Linked DNA regions of Elephas maximus indicus. The protein of the gene in region 2 interacts with the protein of the main gene of each other region in a biochemical or structural test. Links are inferred from orthologs where the notes say so. Each region holds a gene or a part of one and is shown on either strand. Other genes may lie near its edges.

The links.
Region 1: the proteins of POLI (region 2) and POLH interact in far-western blotting, tested with the Homo sapiens proteins (2 studies listed by BioGRID). The link is inferred for Elephas maximus indicus from reciprocal best matches to the Homo sapiens genes POLI and POLH.

Annotation. Positions count from the first base shown.
Region 1 is NC_064819.1:108,006,035-108,015,850, reverse strand, and holds the start of POLH (DNA polymerase eta), read right to left. Parts: upstream 4,552-9,816; 5' UTR 4,462-4,551; intron 4,098-4,461; coding exon of another isoform or gene 3,993-4,097; exon of another isoform or gene 3,408-3,992; intron 1-3,407. Other genes in the region: XPO5 (exportin-5), read left to right, coding at 3,993-4,097, 5,303-5,424, 6,680-6,752, 8,035-8,172, 8,306-8,488. UniProt on the Homo sapiens protein: DNA polymerase specifically involved in the DNA repair by translesion synthesis (TLS). Due to low processivity on both damaged and normal DNA, cooperates with the heterotetrameric (REV3L, REV7, POLD2 and POLD3) POLZ complex for complete bypass of DNA lesions.
Region 2 is NC_064829.1:62,856,943-62,867,017, reverse strand, and holds the start of POLI (DNA polymerase iota), read right to left. Parts: upstream 4,752-10,075; 5' UTR 4,742-4,751; coding exon 4,621-4,741; intron 4,610-4,620; exon of another isoform or gene 4,418-4,609; intron 3,423-4,417; exon of another isoform or gene 3,411-3,422; coding exon of another isoform or gene 3,404-3,410; intron 3,169-3,403; coding exon 3,043-3,168; intron 236-3,042; coding exon 71-235; intron 1-70. UniProt on the Homo sapiens protein: Error-prone DNA polymerase specifically involved in DNA repair. Plays an important role in translesion synthesis, where the normal high-fidelity DNA polymerases cannot proceed and DNA synthesis stalls. Favors Hoogsteen base-pairing in the active site.

The DNA.
Region 1 (9,816 bases), on a different chromosome or scaffold from region 2:
TGAATAGACATTTTTCCAAAGAAGACAAATGACCAATAAACACATGATAAGATGCTCAACATCATTGGTCATTAAGGAGATCCAAATCAAAACCAGGAAATGAGGTACCACTTCACACCCACTAGGATTGTTATTACTTAAAAAATAACAAATGTTGGCAAGGATATGGAGAAATTGGAACCCTCATCCATTGCTGGTGGGAACGTAAAATGGTGCAGCTGCTGTAGAAAATAGACTGGTGGCTCTTCAATCAGTTAAACATAAAATTATATGGCCTAAGCCAGACACAGCCAGACACGAAAGGACATATATTGCATGATCCCATTTATGTGAAATATCTAGAATAAACAAATGCATAAAGACAGAAAATAGATTAGTGGATACCATGGGCTGGGAAGATAGGGGAATAGGGACTTATTGCTTAATGGGTACAGAGTTTCTGTTTGGGGTGATGAAAAAGTTTTGGAAATGAAGAGTGATGGTGGTTGTATAACTCTGTGAGTGTGATTACAGCCACTGGATTGTATACTTGAAAACGATTAAAATGGCAAATTTTATATTGTGTATATTTTACCACAAAAAAAAAAAAAGGATACCTAATCCAATGTGCCATTCTTCCATCACAGAGTCACCATGAGTACACTGGGACCTAACGAGAGTGAAACAAGCATTTTCTATACTACTGACAGAATAAATTGGTTCAGTTTTAGGAAGATAATAAGTATAAAGGCCTAAAAATACCTACCTCCCCAAAGAAATGAACACTTCACAAAAGAAAATATACAAACATCCAATAAGCCCATGAAAATGGGTTCAAATCATTAATCTGTTGCCGTCGCGTCAATTCCAACTCAGAGTGACCCCATAGGACAGAGGAGAACTGCCCCGTAGGGTTTCCAGGGGCGGCTGGTGGATTAAAACTACCAACCTTTGGTTAGCAGCTGAGCTCTTAACAACTGTGCCACCAGGGCTCCCGACATCATTAGTCATGGGCCAATGCAAATTAAAACCACAATATACATCAATAGGGGAATAGAGCCAACAGCTAATCTAGCTGATAGACAGAACTTAAGTATAAGTTCAGGGAAAAGAGAAGCAGAAAATGATATACAACATCTTAACATTTATGTAAATACTTTAACGTCTTATTTTGAAATAATTTTAAACTTACTGAAAAGTGACAAAAATAGCAGGGTTTCCATAAACATAGTTTCCCCTAATGTTAACATTTTACACAGCACAATTATCAAAACTAAAAAAAAAGAACATTATTGGTATAATATTATAAATTCAACTACATGCTTTATTTGGATTTTACAAGTTTTTCCACAAATGTCCTTTTTCTGATCCAAGACTCCATCTAGGATCCTGCACAGCATTTAGTCATCATGTCTCCTTAGTTTCTTCCAATCCATATACTTTCTCAGTCAGTCTTTGTTTTTCATGACCTTTACACTTTTGAAGAGTACCGGTCAGTTATTTGGAGAAGGTCTCAATAAGATTTTGTCTGATCTTTTCCCACATTTATAATGAGGTTATGCATTTTTTGGCAAGCTTTTCTAAGTGTATCGAACCAGGAGTCTTGCCTTCCAGTAGGAGATCTGGGTTCAGTCTCCAGCTGGTGCACCTCAAGTGTCATTGGAGGCTTGCGTATTTCTATGATGCTGAACAGGTTTCAGTGGAGCTTCCAAACTAAGACACACTAGAAAGAAAGGCCTGGTGACCTACTTCTGGAAAATCAGCCCCTGAAAACCCTATGAATCACAATGGTCTGATCCAATTGTGCATGGGGTTTCCATGAGTCAGGACCACTTGTAGGCAGCTAACAACAAGGTAGTGTTCCCTGGATTTGTCACTGAAAAGTTACTATTTTTCCTTTTGTAACTAATGATCATCTTGAAGGAGATACTTTGAGACTATGATAATATCCTACTTCTCCTCAAACTTTCACCACTAATTTAACCACTCATCAGTGGATCTTGCTGTAATAATCATTATTGTAGTGTTCTAATGGTGATTTTCTACCCATTTATGTAAACTTTGAACACAAACAATACTGCACACTGTTCGCAGATACACACATAAACAAAGAAATGGATGGTAGTTGGAAGAATACACCCTACATATTTGAGGGAGGGTACAGACTAATGTTATCATCTAACATTGTTACTGATCTGGAAGAAGGAATAAAAGTAAAGCAGTGGCTCCCAAACTTTGTTGCACATTGGAATCATTTGGGAACTTTTAAATAATACCGATGTCTGGTTTCCACCCACAGAGATTCTAATTTAATTGGTATGGGGTGCTTCCTGGGCATTGTGATTTTTAAAAACTCCCCTGGGCATTTCTAATATGCAGCAGAATTTGAAAACCACTAACTTAAAGTAAATAAGATACCTATGGAAACAAACACCAGTAACTGATGATTTAAATTTGAGAAACAGGCTATACAGTTGAGCAAGCACCCAACTGTATTCTTAAAAAAGCCTGTAAAAAATTGACATACACCTTGAAAAAAAAGTGTCACACAATTACAAAGCTGGAACAAGTGGAAAGAGCAACAAAGAATGAAGAAAATCAGAGTATTCAAGGCATTAATTCCTTATAAATTCCTATTGACCACTCATCTAAAACAGGCAGAATGTGATACTTTAAACATGTGTAAGTTAAAACCACAGCATGTGAGAAATTTCTTTATTTTGTATTGGCTTTTATGTAGTACTGGAACAGATAATGCCTGAGTAAAAATAGTAAATGCATTGTAACAAAAACAGCACAGCCCAAAGTATCATATTAGATACAAATATCAGAACTGGAGTGTGCATAGGAAGCAGTGATTTAAGCCCAGTGAACATTTTAGTGAGTACAGAAACAGATATGCAGGCTTTAACAGATAATGAAGATGTTGAGGTGTTCAGTTTATGTATTTTGGTGGAGAAAGCAAGAGCTTTTTAAGGATGGAAAATGAAACACACTCTACCAAAACCATGCTTTGGGAACGAGAATTACGCTACTTTGAAATCGTATATATAGCAAATTGTCAATACCACACGAACCTTCAATAATTGTAATTATTCATCTTTAAATATCTAGAGTCATTCCAATATGTACAAAACAAGTTTGGTGCCTATGAAATGATGACATATCCAGGAAAGTAAGTACAAGTGAAGAGGGAGATTTAAGAGTTATAGCGAAAAATATTTTTTCTAAAAGAAAAATCCCCTTAGAGGACAATACCAGGGCCTTAACTACGTTTCTATTTTCACGTAACTTAGGCCCCCCCCACCCAAAAAAATTGGGGGGGGGGCTAATTTTGTTACCAGCCTCTGCTGTATCACAAAACCAATAGCCAAGGCAGCATGAAAAGTCTAAAAACATTGATACTGCACAATTCTAAACTCTCTTACCAGTGTGATAAACACCTGGCAGAACTGTCAACGGCGGAAGCCGCAGTTGCTGGGTTCGGAGTCCACTGGAAGGGAGATGAAAGGGTCTTGAATATCTTGTCGCCTTTCCAGGACCAGTCCAGTTGTTCGAGAGAGATCTATTCCCAGTGTCGACAGAGAAATGGGCCAAGGGTCGCGAAGGATCCTTGCCCGGGCAGGCGCCCGCACAGCCAGGAGTGTGGTTCAGCCAAGATCTAGGCGCTAAGCCGCAAGCCCTTCTGACAGATGATCAGACTGCGCGCACTCCGATAAGGACCGTTGACGCGCCTGCGCACCGCGACCCTTCCGTCGCCCGCTCCGCCCACCGCAGTAAACGTCACAAGGCTGCCGCCACTTCCGTGGGCGCGTGCGCACTGGCGGCTCGGGCGCGTGCGCAGCGCCGGCACCTTCCTGGCTCGAGCTTCAGCAGCTCACGCTCCTCCCCCCGTTCCCCATCCCCCAGCCCAGCGCGGCCCGGTACCAGCTTGTGGTGCCGCCAAGGGAGCCGTCCGTGCCTCGTGCTCTCAGGACGGCCGCGTTGCGCGCTGGCGGCGCGTGGCGCTAGCCATGGAGATGGATCAAGTGAACGCGCTGTGCGAGCAGCTGGTGAAAGCGGTGACGGTCATGATGGACCCCAGCTCCACCCAGCGCTACCGGCTGGAAGCCCTCAAGGTAGCCGGGGTCCTGGCGCCCCCGGGCCTGGTCCGAGACCCTCCCCTGACCCCGACTCCCCCGGCCCCGGTCCCCTGGACCTCCTTCCCCAACCCTTGGGGGGGCCTTCCCTGGCGGCGGTCCACGCCTCTCCCTCCCCCGCCTTCACTGCTCGCCGCGCTTGCCCTTCGTCCCTCCGTTTTCCTCACGCAGGCTGCGCTCCAAATCCCGCATCTCTTCGCCTTCCGGTGGCGCACGTGTTGATCCCGCCCCCAACACCAATCTCTTTCTTTAGAGTTTTCCCTGCACTAAACGTTTCGCTACTGATACACTCTCCTGATCCATCCTAACCAAGCTCCAGTCCACCTAGTACACCTTTACTTACATCCATACACCTCTCGCTGACCCCTCTTCTGTGTCTTGGGCATTTCTGGGCTAGTTCTTACGCGCCCCACGTTTTTTAGTGTGTGATAGTCTTGAGCAAAGATGAACTTCTACCGCTTACTTTGCATTTTAACAAGGGCACTTGGGTTTCCTGAAAGTAGTTTTCTTGAGTCCCGGATGCTTTGGTCCTGGTACTGACTCATGTGTTACAATTCCGGAATCCTAGTACAAATGGGGATGTTATTAGAAAAAGAGCTTATACCCCTATCAAACAATGTTTGTGAGCTCTGAGAAATGGCTGCTTAGAAAAAATATTTGTGCTGTATATATTTTAAGTGTGCAATTTCATAAAATAGCGCCAGTTGGAGGAAACTTTACAGTAGATGGATGTATGCGCCAGGGTTTGAAATAAAAAACAACTGGCTTCTATTAGTCTGTTTTTTGTTATGGAATATTTAAAACAGACATGAAAAGTAGAGATAATACTGCAGTGACTCCTGGGTATACTCATCACCTAAATTCTGTACTTTTAAGTTCTAAATACAGCAGGATTTGTTGACGTATAACAAATCCTAGAAATTGTCATTTCACTTTTATGTACTGCAGGGGTATATCGTTAACAATTTTTTTTTACTCCTTTAGGTCATTTTTTTTTTTTTTAATATTAGTAAGGCCGTACCATGGAAAATCTGGAACCATCAGAGTGAAAGAAATGTTTATCATTTCTTTACTCATACAGTAGTAATCTAGATTTGATCAGATTAGAATTTCTTAGAACGAAGCTTATTTAGTCTCCACACTGTCTTAACGCCCAAGAGAAACACTAACTTTTTATTTTTCAGTTTTGTGAAGAGTTTAAAGAAAAGTGCCCTATTTGTGTCCCGTGTGGCCTGAGGCTGGCTGAGAAAACACAAATTGCCATCGTCAGGCATTTTGGCCTTCAGATCCTGGAACACGTTGTCAAGTAAGGCATTTTACGAGTTTACCACTGAAGTATGTAAGAGAGCAAATCTTTATTTCTTGGATAACTCAGAGGTGTTCTTTAAAAACTTGTTGCCGTGGAGTGGATTCCAACTCATAGCCACCCTATAGGACAAAGCAGAACTGCCCCACAGGGTTTTCAGTGCTGTAAATCTTTATGGAAGCAGACTGCCACATCTTTCTTCCTTGGACTGGCTGCTAACGTTTCAGTTAGTAGTCACGTGCCTCCAGGGCTCCCTAGATGTTCTTTAAGTAAGCAGAATAGAGCATTCTTCAAGGGAAAAAGGAATAATACCCAGAATTATCAGATCCTCCAGGGAATTCTCATTCAAGACTGAACCTTTCTGCTCTTCAATTTCTTCATCCTGTAAAGTGCCTGCTACATACTAAGCATTCAAAAAATAATAGCTGCTAGTCACTCACCCAGCATTTATTGAATATCTATATATGCCGGCAGATCTCAAAGCCTCTTTAGGATTATACAGTGTATAAAACCCAAACCAAACCCAGTGCCATTGAGTCGATTCTGACTCATAGCGACCCTATAGGACAGAGTAGAGCTGTCCCATAGAGTTTCCAAGGAGCACCTGGCAGATTCGAACTGCCGACCCTGTGGTTAGCAGCTATAGCCCTTAACCACTACACCACCAGGGTTTCCATACTGCGTATAGATAAATAAATTTGTGATTGGACATTACTTTTGATTTTCTTTTCTTTTACGTTTTGAGTGTGTACCGTCTCTGAATGGCACTTCCAAAGCAATATTATATGTGAATAACTGAAAACTCCTCCAATGCCTATCACAGAAATCCATTTTTAAGACTTAGCCTCAGGTTTTCTGGAATTGTGCTGTTATTACCTTGTAAACCAGCGTAATAAGGTAGTTGGTGTTATCAGATTGTGTTTTCTGGAAAAAACGACTATATTGTAGTTGTCCCAGATGTATATTTGTTTTCAGTCTATTAATAAAATCATGGGGGAAGCTGATGTGTGCATAAATCCTATGTGAATTCCGGTTAATGGAGTGCTGTATATATAAACCCCTGGAATTTTTCTGTTTCTAGCATTTTGGTTAAATGTGGACTATTTTTGCCCATTCTTTGAAGGGTACAAAATCAAAAGTATAATTTTCTAATGAAATTGCCAACATAATCTAACACAGGAATCAAAACTAGTTTCTTCTGAAGAGAAGCCTTCTAATGGGTTCTGTTTCTGACTTTCTCTTTTTTGGTGGCCAGGTTTCGATGGAACAGCATGTCTCGATTGGAGAAAGTATACCTGAAGAACAGTGTCATGGAGCTGATTGCAAATGTAAGGAATGGTTGGTTGGAAGACTTGTGTTTCCAAGGTAGTTTAGACAAAACATGACTTCTTCAATTTAACATTTGCATAAAAATTCACTGGTTCTATGTAGGTCAAAGAGCATGTTTGGTGTAATGTTAAATGTGTACCTTTAAGGTAGAAGGACTACCATTAACAAGAAATCATAATTCATTACATTTAACCAAAAAATACCAAACCCAATGCAGTCAAGTCAATTCCCACTCATAATGCCCTTACAGGACAGAGTGGAACTGCCCCATAGGGCTTCGAAGGCTGTAAATCTTTACGGAAGCAGACTGCCCCATCTTTTTCCTGTGGAGCAGCTTGTGGGTTCAAACTGCCCACCTCTCAGCAGCTTAACCACCTTTCCATCAGGGCTCCCAAACTTCTCTTACTAGATTTAATTTCATCCCTTACGTGCTGGCTTCTGTTTTTAAAATATAAAGATAGGACAGAAGAGATTAAACATTTTCAGCAAATGAATGGATTCATAGGTTTAAAAGATTAAAACTTTGCTGTTTGTTATCTTTTATTCCAAACTGTACTGTATGATACTAGTAATAAAAATATGTAGAATGAATTGTTTCCCCAGTTAGAAGATGACTTTAAATGTTTAAAGTCTATAGCCTTTTTTCTTTCCTTTCTTTTAAACAAAAGGGTATGAAAGATGGAGTCCCTACCCCTTTTCATCTCCAAAATCTAGTGTCTTCAATAGAAAAAAAAAAAGCTTTTATAATTACTGATTAACTTATTTAGCTAATACTTTTTTAGTGCTGTTTCTGGGGCGACAATAGAAATCATACTTCCTTAGTCTTGACATTTTCAAACTTCAGAATAAGAGAAACCTAGTGATAATCTTTCTGTATCTTCTAATACTGTAACTGTTGGTAAAATATTAATTGCATCTCCAGACCCTCCAGTTTTAACATTCTCTCAGCATACTCTTGTTCCTTATTTCTATACTTTTCTGTTGTGACGCTCTCAAAAAATGAAACAATCTATATGAGAGTTTCTTCGTTTTGAAGGGAGAGCTGTGATGTCTTCCTTGCTCTTCAGCGGCATTTTATTAGTGGTACAACCCTCACTTAAGCTTTACGTGGGAAGAATGATTAGAGGGAATGCAGGGTAAGTGACTCAAACATGATGAACAGGTTTGTTTGTTGTACTTAGTTTAAAAGCAGGCCTGCTCATGAGTTTTATATACTTTTACAGCCCGGTGTTCCTTAAATTCGATCTTGCAGATCTCTCAGTATCTCTCATTCTTTTTCAGGGAACATTAAACATTTTGGAAGAGGAGAACCACATTAAAGATGTTCTGTCTCGCATCGTAGTAGAAATGATCAAGCGAGAGTGGCCACAGCATTGGCCTGACATGCTAATAGAATTGGATGCTCTTTCCAAACAAGGGGTATGAAGAATGGATAAATCAATTCAATATACTGTTCTGGAATCTTCAAATTTTTTATACTGTCTTTTTTTTGGTGGGGGGGTGAGAGTCAGCATTTTAATTTAATTTAACTAGCTTATTTCTGTTGGCATAGGAAACACAGACAGAATTAGTGATGTTCATCCTTTTGCGACTGGCGGAGGATGTGGTGACCTTTCAGACACTTCCCCCTCAAAGAAGAAGGGATATCCAGCAAACATTAACCCAGAACATGGAAAGGATCTTCGCTTTTCTACTTAACACACTTCAAGAAAATTTAAACAAGTACCGGCAAGTGGTAAGGGATACCCTACCCCAAGAAAGTCCTATTTCCTAACGTGAGTGGCTTTTTTCTTTGTTTTTTAAGAAACTAATCCTTCAACAAGGAGCTAGAGTGCCTGCTTTAGCAAAAGAAAAGGCCATTTTGTAAGTAAAAAAGAACCTGGTAGATCATGGGAAAAATGAATTAATTTTCTAACAAATTCAGTTCATTGAGTTTCTTTGCTAGTAAAAATTTCTTTTATAGTAGGAAAAAAAAACTTAAAATAGTTTAAAAATAAAGGCTATTTGTTACTATTTGAAAATCCGGGTTTCTGTTGGTCAAGGTAGTATCGTTATTAAATGTGATAGTCCTGATTTCTTTTGCAGTGGACACAACTGTGCACCACCGAGTTTATTAATGTCAACTGCAGCGATCCCTTGGTATTTTCATTCTTCCTTTTTCTTCTGCAGCAAAGGACAAGTGAGATACTGTCTTACCCAACTATTTTCGTTTTAGCAGGGACCCTTCAGAAGAAGGCAGTTTGAAAGTTAATCTAGCACAGTAGTTCTCAAGCAGGGGCAGCTTTGCCGCCCAGGGAACATTGGGCAATGTCTCTAGACATTTTGGTTGTTACAACTGGGGGTTGCTCCTGCATCTAGTGGGTTTAGACAGTGATGCTTCTAAATATCTTACAATGTACAGGACAACCTCCTACAACAAAGAATTATTCAACACCAAATGTCAATAGTACTGACTTAGCATTCTCATAAGTACTTATTTCACAAATTGTATTACTAGACTTGGTTATTTTTTATGCCCATGGCAGCCTCATTAGGTCTATTTTCAGAGAAATGGTAGGTACTAACTGAACTGTCAGATGATGAGGAAAAGACTGTGAGTTTGGTGAGGAGGAAGAAGGGGAAGAACTCAGAGTGAGTACGTGACATATGCCATATACTTGTTTGGCATTTTATATGTTACTTAAACATCAAAACAATGCCAGGAGTCAGAAAATGTCATCCCAGTTTTATAGTTGAGGAAACCAAGGCTCAGCATAATTATTGAAAATCTTCTGTCTAATAAATGGTTGAGCTGGAGTTCAAGCCTTTTTTTTTGTTGTTGTTGTTATATGTACTCTTTACCCAGAATATCTTAAAATATTCTTAAAAAGGTAATATCAAGAAAAAACTCGCACTTAAAAATGTGTGTTGAGGATTAGGGAGATACTCTTTGATTTTCCCTGATTTAACTCCTGGGAGGAGGGAAACAGTTGTCACATAGAGGAGACCTGCCCTGTTAAATGGACAGACTTCTTTGGGAAATGGTCAGATTCTCAAGTGTGTTTTATAGTCTTAAGTAGCAAA
Region 2 (10,075 bases):
GTAAAATATTAATGTAGTAAACATTCTATATAAAAATTAACGCTAAACGTATACTGCCTATAATCTGTACCTGTAACTTTATATGACGTCTCTCTATACCGAGTCAAGTCTTCTCCGTTAACTAATACCAACTGTGGACACTTTTCTTTTGCATCTCTGACACTCATAAGTTTCTTAACTCCAAGTTTCCTGGCTTCATAGTTGCAGGTAACCACAAAATATTTCTGCTGTACCCCTATAAAAAACAAATACTTTATGAAAAAACTGAGGACTGAAAAAGTATCTTGAAATATAACTTACTTCTTCCATATTAAAACTAAAACCAGTTGCCATCAAGTCAATTCCAACTCAGGACAACCCCACGTTACAAGTAGAATTGCGCTACATAAAGTTTTCAAGGCTGTGACCTTTCAGAAGCAGATGGCCAGGCCTTTCTTCTGAGGCACCTCTGGGTGGGTTGGAACCAACCTTTTGGTTAGTAGTCGAGCTCTTAACTGTTTGTGCCATCCACATACTCCACTTCCGTACTATAAATGTACAAATTATACTGTAATGTTTTCATAAGAGTAAAGAGCCCTATCTCAGTTTAAAAATATACTTCCAATCAAAATTCTACAAAGCAGAAACACAAAGTTTTCAAGCTATCTCCTACTTCAGAATCATAAGACATCAATATAAGATTTTCCGCACTCCATTTTTAATCATTAGTTGTTTTTGCCTACTTGTGAAAGAAGAAAAGTTATTACTAAATAGTAAAACACTAGAGAGATTATATGTTAGAAGAGGGATCAATTATTTCATAAACAAAAGGCAACTGTTTATATTTCTTGAATTTAACAAAAATTATCATAAATCAATACATCCTGTGGAATTTTTGGTAATAAGATACAAATTGTATCTTTCTACAATTTTTCAGACAATGCAAAACCAGATTAATTTTTATTACCATATGTAACTCTAGCTCGTGTTTTACGAAAAAACAGGTGCAATAAGCTGTGTACAATTTACTATCGGTTGCTGCTAGAAAAACTCAAGTACTTATCTTCTGAGTAACATGTCAGTGAACATAAAGCAATGTTCTGTTACAAGTGCCAACCTATACCAATTGTTAAGGATCTCTCGCCACAAATGTCAATTACCAAACTTGTTCTTCATAGTAATCTGCAGAAAAGATCAAAGTGAGGAGGCATTATGAGCTGCCTCCCTATGAAAACCATTAAATTATTATCACCGAATACATAAAATTCTAGTTTATTGGTCCCTTAAGACTGCTAAAATTACGTTTTTCTTTTTTCAATAAGTAGATTGTTAACCACTATAAAATAAGCACTGAAAATACGTAAAATGTGGACATTTAGGGGGGAAAAAAAAAGGTTATGTCCGTTGCCCTAATGCGAAGCACTCATTTCTAAAATTTTGAATATTATAAACAAAGCAAAAAAACACATTTGCACAAAATGGTTTTTTATATATCAGATTTTCAAAAATAGCATCCCTGGGTGAAAGGAAATAATAAAAGATTCCTCAGTGAACTATAAGAAAAATCAAATTGGTAACTTTCTTACTTTAATGCAGAAATAAATTATATGGGCCCACCATTGTATGTTACCAGCAGAAAAAGTACTCAAATGTGTGTTGAGTGTAAAGACTCCTTTTGTTTCCTCCATGAGACTTTCAGTATTCATCTCCCTCACTTCATGGTAATCATTCATTCATGCTTCTTAATTACACAATACCTTTTAATTAAGCATTATCTATGGAAACCCTAGTGGCATAGTGGTTGAGTGCTACAGCTGCTAACCAAAAGGTCGGCAGTTCGAATTCACCAGGCACTCCTTGGAAACTCTGTGAGGCAGTTCCACTTTGTCCTACAGGGTCGCTAGGAGTCGGAATCGACTCAACAGCAGTGGGCTTGGCTTGGACAGAGCAAGGAACACTGGTGGCACAGTGGTTGAGTGTTCAGATGCTAACTGAAAGGCCAGCAGTTGGGACCCATCAGCAGGAGAATGATATGGCAGTTAGCTTCCATAAATATTTATAGCTTTGGAAACCCTATAGGGTAGTTGTACTCTGTCCTATAGGTGCAGCTGAGTCAAATTCAACTCAATGGCAATGAGTTTGACTTGGTTTGACCTATAGAGCAACGTGTGTTACAGAGCTATTAGTTATAAATGCTTTTAACAGGAAATGGAGGTACCTTAGATCCTAACTTATTGATACCCTTAAGAAAACTCTATAGTTACTACTTACGTTCGGCATACCAAGAGCTAATCGCCCCATTGCTCTTTAATATATCAGCTAGGCTGGGCTGCACAGGGATTTAAAAAATCAAACTAGGGATAACAGGGTAGCAGCAAGGGAAGCAAAATTGCTCTTAATGCTTATGCTAAAAGACTAACCCTTCTTGCATACAAAAGAAACAAACAAAAAAAAACCTCTGCATTCCCAATGTAAAATATGAATAATTATTAAAACAAGTCAGGACATCAATAAATAAATCCTCAATGTAAAATTTCTCTTTTCACTTTTAAAAAATTAATAGAAAGGCCGTTTTAGGAAAGTTTGTTCTATGTTTTGTTATTAAAGTTTTGTTCAAAACCCAATTAACTTATCAGACTTTACACAATTTAAGAGTTGATTTCAAAAGAAAGGGGATCGATGAAAATTTCTATTAAAAATGTAATCAGAAGTTTGTTTTTGAGAGATAAGGCTTATAAAATTTCAAACGAATTGAGAACTAAGCCCCTGGCTAACATAAAAACAAAACCCAGTGCAGAAGACTGAAAATTTATTCTGGTCTCTCTGTTCATCTTTTCAGTTGGCTATTCCGCTTGTTCCACCATCTATTAAATGAGACTTAGAAAGTTTACACTTGGTAGTGCATCAAAGATTACTGTCAATAAAGCACCTGTAAGAACTGTTCCCAAAATGTTAACATTTAAGTCTTTCTTAGTCCAGTTAATAAGTCAGAATAAATATAACAAATACGAGTAGCTAATCGGATCATTACACAATGAAAATATTAACAACGTTCAGAATTACCTAAAGGTTTGCCCTTTAGCTCTGGATGTGAGATCATTTCTACCTGCGCATAAAAGCAATCCAGGTCCACATGTACTATGACTCTGGATGAAGTACTTCCTGTTGGTACCACTTCACAACGACCTGCTGTACAATATGGAAAAATACATTCAGACTTTTTATCATCACAGTTAAGACAGTGCTTAAAACATGGTAACTGACAAGTAAGAAACGAGAGTGCAGACTGGTTTTAAGTTTTTTTCCTTGGATTTATTACACACACCAAAGCATCTAAAAACTACAAAGAAACAGTAAGGAGTATCTGTCCTTTAGGATCACTCCATCATCCTAATACGGTAGGATCTGAGTCTTGTTTACTTACTTAGCATTTCTTTGTGCAGTGCATTTTTCTGAGGGTAGTAATAAACTGAAGAAAAAAAATTTGATCATAATAAAAGAGCTAATGCTATGACGTGGAAATTTACAGTAACATCTAAGACTAAACTGGGACAGTCAGAAATGTCTGAACATCACTGATTTTCCCCCAACTTAAAATTTTTTGTTAAGTGCCATGTCCTTCAATATAAAAAAGAAATCTGAAATGTGAGGAAGCAGAACCTATAGGTTTCAATATTCCCATATTCCTGGAGTCTGGCATATAGTAGACTATCAATAAATATTCACTAAATTCAAAGAATGAGTAAGTATTTCCTGGATTTTAAAATGTAGCTCTTGTCATTGGGAGGACACATGAGATTCCTGCTCTTAACATTTGTTAAATACAAAGCAGGCTAAATGGAACACGGTCCTCTGGTTTGGATCCCGGAAGGGAAAAGGAACATTAGCGGAAAAAAGAGTGAAATCTGAAGAAAAAAGTATGTAGTTTAGTTAATAGTATTAGGCCAAAGTTCATTTCTTGGCTTTGACAAATGTACCATAGTGATGTTAAGATGGAAACACTAGGAGAATTTGGGTGAAGAGATACAAGACTCTGTACTATCTCTACAACTTTGTGTGAACGTACAACTACGCCCCCTCTTCCCCACTACGGGGAAAAAAATAAAAAAGAGGGCAGGGAGGAGCGTCTTTTCCCCTCCTGACCCTAGGGTTGGCCGGTAAAAAGTAGGGCCCGGAAGCTGGACACGAGTACCCTGTGAGGAGACCACTATATACATGCTGCCTTCTCGGTTCCATCCCGAACCAGTCCTTCCCGCCCAGGCTGCGGCCGGGGCCCAACCTCTGCTAAGGGAGGGACAAGGCTCTCAACCTTCCCAACCTTGAACCGCCTGGGAGCCTATTCAGCTTTCGTTCGACTGGTGGCGGGTATTTTCTTTCCCCACGGGGAGGCGGAGAAAGGCACAAATGTACCCTCGATTAACAGGTTGACGAGCCCTACCCTACTACTCCGAGGCGAAGCCATCCTCTCGGGGGTCCTAGTCGCTAAATACCAGACAAGCTAGGGCAGTTCTCTCACGGTGGGGCGGGCAAGACAAAGGCAGCCGAAAGGGGAGGGGACGGTCGCGCCCCAACGGGCACCGCCGCCCAGCCCCTCCCATTTACACCCAGGAAGGCCACTGAGCTCTTCAGGCCCCGGCGCACCCTGCGAGCCGCCTGCCGCCTCCGCGTCCGCGTCCGCGTCCGTCGGCTCCATGCCTCGGAACGCACCCAGTTCCTCTTCGCAGCCACCTTCCTCCTCGGGCACCACCCCCAGCTTCTCCATCCTACCGAGACCAACTGCAGCGCAACTTCCGGCCGCTTCCGCCCGGTCACCGGGCAACCGTGGGCCGACTGTTCCCCATCCGCCTCAGTCCACGCGCCTGCGCGATGGCGGCCGACCTATCTTTTGCCCGGAGTTGCACTCCGGCGTGGGAATCGGCTCGGGCTCCGGTGCTGGAGGCCTCGCCGGCTAAGTGGAGGCCGGAAGTGAGAGTTTGAAATGCCAAAATCCTAGATTTTGCTTGAGGCTGTCATACTTCGGCATGCAGCACAAATTCAAAATTTTTGTTTTTGCTGAGACCAGCCCGTTCTCCTGATCAACAGTTAACAGAATTGCTAACACCAAAAAAAAAAATAATAAAATTTTTTTTTTTTTTTGTTAGACACTGGAAGGACCCCTGGTGGCGCAGTGGTTAAGAGCTATGGTGTACTCTTATGCAATGGGCCCAGAAGAGGACCTAAATGTAAAGACCCTAAAGGGTTAGGTTTCTCAATGCGTGTTTGTTTCCTAACTTTATTGAGGTATAACTAAAGTACAACAAACGAAACACATTTAAAGAGTACAAATTGATCAGTCTTAACAAAAGTATGCACCATAAGATAGTAAATATTCCCCCATCAGCCTCAAAATTTCCTTATGCTCCCTCCCTGGAGAACCACTGATCTGCTCTCTCTCCTTAAGCCAAAAAGAAAAAAAAAAAACACCATATAGGACAGAGTAGAACTGTCCCACAGGGTTTCCAACGAGCACCTGGTGGATTCCAACTGCACATCTTTCGGTTAGCAGCTGCAGCTCTTAACCACTACACCACCAGGGTTCTGTTCTCTCCTTATAGATTTGTTAATATTTTCTGAATTTTATATAAGTGGAATCATATGGTATGTGCTCCTTTTTGCCTGGCTTTTTCACTCAGCTAATTTAATATTCAGCCATGTTGTGGGGGAATATCAAGAGTCCATTCTTTTTTATTGCTGAGTAATATACCACTGTATGAGTGTACCACACTTTATCTGTTCACCTATTGATGAATGTTTGGATCATTTTCAATTTTTTACCATTACAAACAAACCTGCTATGAGCATTCGTTTAGCACATGTTTTCATTTTCTTGGATAAGTTTGAATGGCTTATAGTTTATATGTATCTTTTAAAGAAACTGCTAAATGGTTTTCCAAAATTACTACACCATTTTGCTTTCCCGCCAGTGGTGTATGAGTTTCCCAGTTGCTTTACATTCTGATTTACACTTGGTATAGTAAGTTTTTAAAAAATTCTAGTCTTTATAATGAGTATGTAGTGGCATCGCATTGTGGTTTTAAGCTGTATTTCCCTGATGACTAATGATGTTAACCATCTTTTCATGTGTTTACTGGCTATTTGTATGTCTTCTTTTGTGAAGTGTCTGTTCAAATTTTCTGCCCATTTTATTGCTGAGTTGTCCAATGTGTTTTTTAAGAATGTCTCTGGGGGAAAACTTGGCATCAAAACTCCATTTCCTCATGTTCAACGTTTAGGCTCAGGATATGGTAAGCCAACCACTTTGATCTCTACTAAATTCTAGGGGACTGCTGCGTTTTTCTCTGCATAACAATCCGTTCTGTGCTACTTGATCTAATTATCTGTTACGTTAGTTGACCTCCATCTCTATACTTCGTGTGAGGGTACTCTAAAATTGAGGTGCTTGGCATGATTAAAAATGACTGACCTAGGAGTGTGCTGTCACATTATAGGGAGAGCAAGTAGGTTCACATGACAATGTGTATATAAGATTTTGTATGAGAAGCTGACTTGAATCGTAAACTTTCACTTACAGCACAATTAAAAAAAAATGACTGACTTAGGTCTGAACCATAGTTCCATTTTTTAATTAAACTTCAGTCTATTCTAAGTCCTCCTTTCTGCCTTTTTAGAAACTGTGACATCTAGCTTCTTGTGAAACTTTAACCACCCTCAGCAAACAATGGAAGGGGTGAAAATGTGGTTTGTGAAGACATGTTTGTCAATAAATGTTTCTCAGGTTGGTCCTGGGAGAATGTTTGCACAGCCTATCTCAGGAAAAACGTATAGGTAGAAAGTCTGTGTTAGAAAACAGATCAGCTAACCCTGTAAGATTTTAGCTTGCTATTGTCCTGTAGCCATGTGTAAACCCAAGCTTCCATGATTATAGTTGTGTACTCCCTACCCCACTTTATTGTATAATAGGCTTGTACCTCTTCCAATGAATTGGAGCACTTTGCAATTTTGCTGAAGTGCTGCCAGATTCCAATCTTTATATTCCTTCAATAAAACTCTTTTCCTTTTCCTTTTAACAGGCTAAGGACTTTTACTCTTTGACAACTTATATCCTTCTTGCCAGGGCAGTGCACATTCAGTTACTACTTGATGCCCTCTTCATTTCACATACCCTGTGGTAGATACTTGTCTTGGATATCTAGTGCTGCTGTAACAGAAATGCCACAAGAGGATGGCTTTAACAAAAGAGAAGTTTATTCTGTCACAGTCAGTAGGCTAGAAGTCCGAATTCAGGGCACCAGCTCCAGGGGAAGATTTTTTCTCTGTTGGCTCTGGAGGAAGGTCCTTGTCATCAGTCTTCCCTTGGTCTGGGAGCATCTCAGCACAGGAACCTCAGGTCCAAAGGATGTACTCTGCTCCCAGTGCTGATATCTTGGTGGTATGAGGTTCCCATGTCTCTCTGTTCACTTCTCTCTTTTATATCTCAAAAGAGATTGGCTTAAGACAGTACCTAATCTTGTAGACCTCACCAATATAACTGCCACTAATGCACCTTATTACATCATAGTAATAGGATTTAGAACATATAGGAAAATCACATAAAATGGTGGACAATCACATAAAATGGTAGACAATCACATAATACTGAGAATCATGGCCCAGCTAAATTGACATGTATTTTAGGGGAACACAATTCAATCCATGACAATATTGTTATTGAAGACATGAGCACTAGAATTGGCGCAGGACTGCTGAAACCCCCCTTGGAATCAATGTGAAATGGGAGTGTTTTTTGTGTGTGTTTTGTGCTTATGGGTTATCCTTCTAGAAAGAGCATGTCAATTTAAATGGGAAATCTTTCTCTAAATGTATCATTAAATGGAACTAGGTGTTGTGGGGAGCCCTGGTGGCACAGTGGTTAAGATCTTGGCTGCTAACCAAAAGGTTGGCAGTTTGAATTCAACAGCTGCTCCTTGGAAATTCTATGAGGCAGTTCTATAGGGTCGCTATGAGTCAGAACTGACTTGACAGCAAAGGGTTTGTTTGTTTGTGTTTTGATTTTAATCTTTATGGAAGCAGACTACCACGTCTTTTCTCAAGACGTTTTGGTTAGCAGCCAAGAGCTTTAACCACTCCACCACCAGGACTCCTTACTCTATAGACAGCGACTGATAATCCCTTACTCTAAATCTTCAATAGCTGTCTCCAAGATGAATTGTATGCATAATTGGGCTTTGAAATCAATATTGTTTGATAAAACAAAATACAGATAAAAAGATGGAGGCATATCCAAAATAACAATAGTGTCTGTTTCTCTGAGGAGCCAATCTGGCTCAGTGGTTAAAGTGCTTGACTGCTAACTTAGCAGTTCGAATCCACTGGCTACTCTGTAGGAGAAAGCTTGGCAGTCAGCTTCCATAAATATTTACAGCCTTGGAAACCCTATGGGGCAGTTCGACTCTGCCCTATAGAGTTGCTATGAGTTGGAAAAGACTCAATGGCAATGATTTTGGATTTTTGGTTTTTTATCTGTTTCTCCAAGGTATCTGGGTGGCACAAATGTTTTGTGCCTGACTACTCACCTAAAGGTCAGTAGTTTAAATGGCCTGGCAATCTGTTTCTGTAAAGATTACAGTCAAGAAAAACTCATGGAGCAGTTCTACTCTGTTAACACATGGGGTCACCATGAGTCAGAAGCAATTCAACAGCAACGGGTTATCTGTTTTTCCAACTCTTACAGGTTTGGTGGGGATGAGGGGATTTAAACCGCTGCTTTTCAACGTTTGAATAATGAAGAGGGCTTTTACTCCACTCTCCCAGAGGCACTATATTTATTTCTCTCTCTTCATCTCCATTTTGCTCTTCTCCAAGGCAAGAGTAGATATTTATGTAATTCGGGAGGTGAGAAGAGTCTGACAATTATAAGGCCAGCTGGAGTGAATGGTGCTGTGGCCCAACCTTTCCAGTCCTTATTGGGTCTCCCAGAAGCCTTGCGGGTTCACTGTGCTTCCAGGTTCTAATCAGTACACTGACAGGTGTGGTCTGCCTCTTACAGGCCCTGACAGGCCTCTGTTCTCTTAGAAGCAGTTTTTTACCCTGACGGTGGGAAAGTCTAGCTGCCTGTTCACTTTTTTCCCTCCAAAAATCTAATTTTTGCCACTAATAAAATTGAGAATCAAAACATCTTCTACCTCCTTGGATCTATTTCTTAGTAGAAACTAGTGGAAACTTGAGCTTTAAGGGAAAAAAAAAAGCTTTCACTGACATTTAAAAGTGTGGCTCCATTCTGTTCCCTTCACAGACGCATTGCTAAGTTCAGAGGATACATATATGGTGTGGTTCATGGGAAATTTTGTTTGTTACCCCACCCACTCCATACATGCCTTCAAGACCAGACTCCCTCCTCTCCGCCCCCGATACTTAAGTACTGACGCACCTTGTAAAAAGGTAGACGTAAACATTTGCTGAGACATGCAAAAAACAAAGGAAAGCATAAGTAAAAGAAACAGTAAATGTTAAGGCAAAAAGGACTGATTCAAAAGTGTTATATAGAAATATAGGCTGATAATATGACACTAATGTGAGACTCTGCCTCAGCAATTTTCCTGAATAATTGATAAAGGTGACTCAGGAAAAGGTGACTACTGGAGCAAGTATATAATGCCAACAAATCTGATTTGTTTCAAAAGCATATACCTTCTAGAACTTTTACTTACTGAGTTAAAGCACATATACTATTTTTATGGTATCCATTTTTCTCCTAATACTGTATTTTCTTGGTGATCATGATCTTAACGATAGTAGTTTTGTCAACCACAGTACTCTTCAGGAACATAACCTCCATAATTGATGAAGGATTACCATAGTACTGTTATATTTGGGAGAAAAGTTATTAAAAAAATTTTTTAAAGAAAAAAATTAAAATCTGATTGGAAAAGACTTTTGAATTCTATTGATGAGTTCCTGAAATTTGTCTCAGATACCTAAAAACAGATTAATAATAACCTAATATTGACTTTATCCTTGTCATGTTTAAACTTCCATGATTAGTGAGCCAGTTGGAGGCATAAACTCAGATGGGCACTCAATATTTTTCAGTTTTATT